2 linked regions of the Arabidopsis thaliana genome follow. The protein of the gene in region 2 interacts with the protein of the main gene of each other region in a pairwise test. Each region holds a gene or a part of one and is shown on either strand. Other genes may lie near its edges. The genes, in order: AT1G72290 and RD21A.

Evidence for each region.
Region 1: the proteins of RD21A (region 2) and AT1G72290 interact in a two-hybrid assay, tested with the Arabidopsis thaliana proteins (one study listed by BioGRID).

What each region holds. Positions count from the first base shown.
Region 1 is NC_003070.9:27,213,787-27,217,576, reverse strand, and holds AT1G72290 (Kunitz family trypsin and protease inhibitor protein), read right to left. Parts: upstream 1,791-3,790; 5' UTR 1,726-1,790; coding exon 1,078-1,725; 3' UTR 720-1,077; downstream 1-719. Other genes in the region: ERO1 (endoplasmic reticulum oxidoreductins 1), read left to right, coding at 3,071-3,241, 3,641-3,772. UniProt on the Arabidopsis thaliana protein: Water-soluble and chlorophyll-binding protein that probably does not function as a chloroplast chlorophyll carrier and is not involved in photosynthesis.
Region 2 is NC_003070.9:17,283,821-17,287,420, forward strand, and holds the start of RD21A (Granulin repeat cysteine protease family protein), read right to left. Parts: upstream 1,930-3,600; 5' UTR 1,790-1,929; coding exon 1,315-1,789; intron 774-1,314; coding exon 538-773; intron 440-537; coding exon 299-439; intron 1-298.

The sequences.
Region 1 (3,790 bases), 9.9 Mb from region 2:
CCATCATTTCCATGTAAATTATAATTTTGATGGTAATAGAAGCTTTGATGATGTAAAGAACAGGAATTTATGCAGCTCGTGACATTCAAACGATTTCTATATACATGTAGCTCTCTAGCTATGTAAAACCCTTTGGCTTTAACATGATCAAAAGCAGATTTTTATAAAAGGATTTGATTAGAAATCTGGAATGTATCGTATGATCAAACCAACTTTGGCTTCCATGAAATTTCTCCGTTCTTAAGAGGTCTAAGAAAACAAAAAAATCTGTGATGCTAACAGAATAACTCAAGTGGGGTCTGTAAGCGGCATTTAATCGAACATTTGGTGTGCATAGTTACCAAAGAGACATTGAGTGAAAAGAAAGAGTCGTATGACGCGCGAAAGAAGACAAAGCATGAGAATCTGAGAAACTGAGACATACCTAAACATCAATGGAAGATTCAGAGACAGAGAGAGAGAGAGAAAAAAAGAGAGAGGTTTTTGTGAAACGAAAGCTTTTGATTTAGACTTTTAAAACTTATTGGATAATATATGTCTTGCTAAACGTCGTCGTTTTGAGTGTTTTTGGGAAAATAAGCTATATAGAGTAACGCCAAAAAAAGAAACCCTATCGTGATCAAAAGAATAGTGTTACGTTTCTTTGTTGATAAAACCTTGAGATACTCCTCAAATATCTTAATCTCTCAATTAAGCAAGAGACATACACGTTTATTTATCCGGTTTGATTAGTCGATGTCACGAGATCCACGTCCGGAGCTAGATTCTGTCCAGCAAGTTATACTATGAATGATCAATGTTTTCTCAAGCTCAAGATCTTTACAAGAGGAGAGAAAATTTTCGGATACAAAGTAGAATGAAGAAGAAAACTATTTCATGCCTTAAACAGATTCAACAGCAATGCCTATGAATGATTCTCAACATCTATGTATCTGGATCTGGCCACATTTTTCTTTCTTATTAATTGAAATTTGAAAATAACTCATTATTTTAGGCCATGGACGAGTCTCAGGCTTAATATTACAATAATTTTTACCAGTTGATTAGTAGAACGGGAACATCCTTAGACCTAAATTATCAACCCGGGAAGTATAAGTTGCTAGTAGCCGTAGTAGCATCATCAACCTTTTTGAATTTGACGAGTAAGGTCTTAGCCGTATCCTTGGTGATAATTAGTTGTGGTGCGCTTAACCAAACCCCTGGGATGGCTCCAACGGTTCCGTAAAAGGTGGTCAACTTATAAACGTTTGCTCTAGCTCCTTCTCCAGCTTTCTCAATCTTAAACGAGCTATTTCGGTCCCCCATTTTACCACCGATGAGAATTGAAGGCTCCTTGGGAGCTGATGAGGAATCATCAACTTCCCAAAACTTGGAAAACTCCTTGCAAAACGGCCAGATGTTGGACTTGAACTCGATGTTTACAGCCGAAGATGTCATAACGGTTGATCCTACGCCAAGTGCTAATACGAAGCTAACCGGTAGGCCGGGTTGGTAGGGAAGAAGTGTTTGGGTGATGCCAAGTGGACAAAAGGGAAGTACTGTAATGGCGGCTGGGACAAGACCACCTCCGTTTTTACTCTCGGTCTTAACCGGCTGGATGAAGTATTGTTCGCGGGTGTTAAGTGGATTTCCGGCTGTATCCTTCACCGGTTCATTTCCGTGGGTGCAAATAGTTGCAGCAAACAGGAGAATGATGAGAAAAGAGATCACTGAAGGATTCTTCATTTGTGATTGTTATGTGTGTTTTAGGGTTTGATGTTTCTTTTTTTGGTTTGAGTGAGTTGAGTTGTAGAAAGCATGCACATTGTATCGGTATTTATAGGAAGTTTCTGCGGTTGCACAAAACACCGCGTGCGACCCTAAAATGAAAAGATTAATCTCTCATTTTTGTTAAATTAAACCTTAAATTTATCAACTTATTTCTTGGCTTTTTCCTCATGCCACATTCTGATCATCCCGTAAGTATGGGGGGAAACAGATCATCACGTGATGTGTTTGTTTCTAGAGAGGGAGAGTAGAAGAGATGGGTTAAGGCTCTTTTTTATATATCAAAGATGGGTTGAGAGTCTATGGTAATCGATTCAGACTTTGAGTTTCAGCACGATCGAGGAACATCCGAACATGCACAATGATCCATGTTCAGAAGCAGGAAAAAGGACGATCAAAAAATGGGAGGAGTAGAATGATTCAAAAGCAGAGAGATGGGGATGAATGAGCCAACGTATGAGATAAAACTCAACATAATTGTTTCTGGCCACAATTTGTTTTATTCTTCCTTCTTAATTGAAAAGAACTTACTAAATACACACATGCAACTATTCAAGAGCCAAAGATGAAACCAAATGATTTCAACTAAATTTTGCAAGAGATAAATTGAGTGACAACAAATTGACAATAATCAAGAAGCGGAAGATATGGTCTGAGTAAAACTTTTCTTAGTTAGTGAATGATGAGTTATTAAGAAGGTAAAATGCGGAAACACTTTGTATAAGCCTATCGAGTTAATTAGACAACTCAATATTAGAAACTCTCTCTTACGTGTTCAAAACGTTAGGTCGAGAGTAGGGCACATATCGAAATTAAGCTAATTGACCCCTACCAGACCCATAACTCATAAGCCCAACCCGACCCATATCAGACGGACTTATAGTTTAGCCTGCAGGCCCAATTAAAATAAAATATAATTCCTTCAATAAAACGACAGCGTGGACCGAAGAGGCGTTTAGTCAAACGAATGGTCGTTGACTGGGAAGCGTTGAAAAGGCAACGTGTTAATTACTACGAGAACAAATGGATCCTATTGGTTAATGCACGTCACGAGACCATAACAAACTGCTCCAACACGCGCGTGTTATACAAAACCCACGTCGCGCTGAAATGTCAAAAATACAGCATTGAAAGTAACGCATTTACATGACATTCATTGCTTGCTTAAGACGAACTTCAGACACAACAAACACAACAATGGGGTTTTGAGAAATTCCGGAAGACTCAAAAAACGTGTTTTTATATTTATTTGTAAAAGGATTTATTTGTCCCATTTCAATTTCCATTTTTGTAATTTGTCATAATGGGAAAAGGCGCAATCAAAGAAGAAGAGAGCGAAAAGAAGAGAAAAACATGGCGATGGCCTTTAGCGACTTTGGTTGTCGTGTTTTTGGCAGTTGCTGTGAGCTCTAGGACGAATTCCAATGTCGGTTTCTTCTTCAGCGATCGAAATTCTTGTAGCTGTTCACTTCAGGTTTTTGATTCTACTCTCTTAAATTCTCAATCTTTTTGCTTTGATCACAGATGAAAGAATTTGACTTTAAGATTCTCAAGTACATTTTCGTGATGTTAAGTTTGTTGGGTATTGAGAAAAATTGTGGATATTTGTTATCTTATGGATTCATGATAATAAATATTGAATCTTTTTGATCACATTGTTTAGCCAATGGATTCAGGGTAATAAAAATTGAATCTTTTGATGACATTGTTGAGCGAAAGCTTTGAATCGTTGTCCCTGAAATGTGCCACTGATTTATTGCAGGATGTGTGATTATCAATGTTGTTGTAAGATTCACTCTTTCAGTGGACTTAATTGTATTGATCAGGATTTGATTTTTTCGTCTTTCTGATTTTCCTTTGGGATATTATACAGAAAACAGGTAAATACAAAGGTATGATTGAGGACTGTTGCTGTGATTATGAAACAGTTGACAATCTCAACACTGAGGTTTTGAATCCTTTGCTTCAAGATCTCGTCACAACTCCATTTTTCCGGTACTATAAGGTCAGTGAGATGCTTTAG
Region 2 (3,600 bases):
AACAATATGAACATTTTGAGACCAAAAATAGTGAAAAGCTACTTAATATTCAACCACCTATTAGATGCAATTGTTTCATGCGTTTATATATGAATAAAACTTTACATTTTCAAACACTAGCAACATTTTTTTCAATTTTTCATAGAATTCTTTTGTAAAGTGTAAACGCAAACACCAAACAGAGTTTCTCCTTTCGTTTGTAATTGGCGTATACAATTAACAACAGAAGTGAAATGGATTTATATGCATAAAAACTAACAAACACCTAAGAACTATGAGAAGATGGTTAAATTTGTACCGAATCATAGAGCTGGAACGCACGACCACCAGCCTCAATGGCAATGCTAATGGGTTGATGAGCAACTGCTTTCTTCAACGATTCCTCGCTGTAAGTTGGAACATCCTCATATGAATCGATAGTGACAACTTTAGCGTTTTTCTGTAACAAGAAACCCACAAGAGGATTGATATAAGAATCATAAGTTGTGTTAATAATCAAATGTAATTCCTTGTCAAAACAAAAACCAATGTACTTACCCTGATCTGGTCACAAGTTCCATCAACACCCTTGTAAGGATAATCTTTGTCTGTATCGATTCCACCATTCTTGATAATGAACTCAAAAGCATAGTCCATAAGACCTCCGTTACAACCTTCGTTGTATGAAGTGTCACAATCGACCAACTCTTGTTCAGACAAGGTTATTAGGTCTCCGGTTACGATCTGGTTTATTCCCTCCACTGCTCCAATGGTTGAAAACGCCCAACAACTCCCTTCATTACCAATCATAAGTGTCAACAACATCAGCTTACAACAAAACATTAACATCAAACAGGAACACATATATTCTAATATCAATGTTCTGTAAGGAGGACTAAAATAATGTGCAATTTCTAACATAATCATGACTACGAAATTTAATGTTATAGTTAATCAGATTCATTCATAAACCTTATAACTGAAATTCATAACCAAAATGTACACATTTGAAATGCTGTGAGCCTGTAACCAAGTAAAACCTTATTTTTATGCTTAGGACAAAACAACTATAGCTCACAAGCAAAAATAACTAGACTATAAGTCAACGTCTCTAATTAAGTAATGACTAATGACCTATACACATGATGATTTGTTAAATTATTAGTACTATTAATTTCATTTATTGAGTTTTGTCTTGCTAACTAACACCCATAATTTCCGGAAGGGGCAAATATGTCATTTTCCAAAAGTTTCAAAACTTTATGATTGAATCAAAAAATGATATACTACGATAAGAGTAACTAAAAATGATGGTTAGATCCAGTAGAAACTTACCGCAACCACCCTGATCTTTGACCTCAGCCACGGCTCCTTTCTTCCTCCAGTCAATAGACTCCGGTAGCTCATCACCGACACGAGCCTCGTACCGTAGGCTAGTCCTTCTCTCACCTTTCTTCTCCATCTTAGCTCCAAGATACTTGGATCTATACTCATCGTTAGTAAGATCCGCAAAACGAGTCAAACCCAATCTATAACTAAGATTCTTCTCGTTATGTTCATCGACGAAACGAAGATTGTCTTTAAAGATCTCGAACCGTCGATCTTTCTCAACAAGAGAGTTCTGGCTCTGAGCCTTGCCGTGTTTCACCAACCATGCCTCGTAGATACTCATAACCTCGGCTTCGCTACGGCCACCGGTGGTGGAGACGCCATGTTTCTCGTCGTAGGAGATGATTGACATGTCCACGGCTGATGAAACGGCGACCATCGCTAGAAAAAGAATCGCCATGGTTGGCTTAAGGAACCCCATTTCTTCTTCAGTGTTTTCTTGGAGAAGAAGAAGAGAAAATGATGAAGAAGACGATTGTATGATGGACAAGAGATGGTGGTGGGGTATATATAAAAGCCAAATGAGATAAGTGTAATAATTGTTAGTTTTCTATTTTAATGTTTTCGTTCGTCACTCTTTTTAATTTTCTAAAATAATGGTGACTTGTTCCGAATTTTTTTATTAGAAAGTTCAATTTCGGAAAGGAAAAAATCCGTATGTTAGAAGAAAAAAAAGATAGGAAAAATCCAAATTATTTTTTTGATACGATAGAGAAACAATAAAAGTTATATGTATCCAACAAGTTGAAACGGAATCAAAACAGAAAAAAAGAATTAAAAATAAGTGGATCTAAAATAAATGAAGATAAGTGATTTATGGGCTTCTTTGTAGATAAGATATCATATGGGGTTTGACAAAAAAATAACTCCATGTTGAACTATAATTGAAACTGAAAAAAAAAAGAGTAGCAAATCAGATAATAAATAGTAAATAGTGCATTATTTACAATTTTTCAAATAATGTACATTTACCACTATTACTCATGTTATATTTGAACTAAAAAGAGGGAACCCAAACCAACATCAAATCATTTTTTTGTTTGTTATTATTATCCCTTTTCTCATTTCCTCTTTTTCCCAACAAAAATTTATGAGTCAAGTTTTCTTAATAATATTGAAAAGAAAAGTGGGCCAAAATAAATCTTGAGCCAAAAAAGAAAAGAACTCAAATCATTCTTTTTGTCATTTTAATAAGAAAAAAAAAATCAAAAACTTCAAATAAATGAACAAATCATCTCTAAACTTATACTTAATTGTATTTATTTTCTTAAATATTCAAAAACAAAAACTTGAGCCAAAATCCGATTTAAAAATCCTAATTAATTTCAGGGTCGGTTGAGATATTTTGATAAGTGAAAAAAAAAACAATAGTGTAAAGATGAAATCTATAAATGTGAATATGTGATGGTCAATTATTGGTTAGACAATATGGGTAGGAAGAGATGAGACGTCACTGATCTCTAATTGGCAAGCCAAAAATAAAATGTCCACACAAATAGGAGCGCGTGTTCTCACGTATTGTAAAAGACGCGTGGATAGGATTGTTACATGTAACTCGAGATTCTTATGAGTTTTTGATAATATAGAATCTAAAGTCTTACAAGTTACCATTATGAAATTAGATTGTTGTCTCTATTATTATGATTCCTTCCGAAATTAAAAGACTCAAAATATTTTCTATAATTTATTCATTTTACTCAAACTTCTTTAATATAATGCTTTCAAGAGTTAGCTTGTGACAATAGAACACTTGCTCTCTTTTTTTCGTCAGAGAATTAATAAAAATTATTATATTCAAGTGACATCGAATATTATACTTATCAAAATAAAAAAAATAATATTGTAATTTAGAGTTTTGGAAAAGAAAAAACTCAACAATAGTTTTGCGTGTAGAGATACACTGATGACGATATTGGAATTTATACATTCAATAAAAAGTATTAATGTGAAACGTATAATATGACTGAATAACGAATCATTAATTAGTATTTTAGAACTTTATTACACGCTAGTGTACATATGGCCAAAAACATTGAGACACAACTAACGCTCCTAGCCTAAGGGGAACTACATTCTATAATGAATCATAATAAGATGTACACTCAATAATCATAGACACATACTTTGAATGGAGACGATACGGTGCGAGACAAAAGAATATCAAAACTACATGTAAATTTTCTTTTTTTAATGCTTTGAACCGCACCTACCCACCTCCATGCTCCAAGTCAC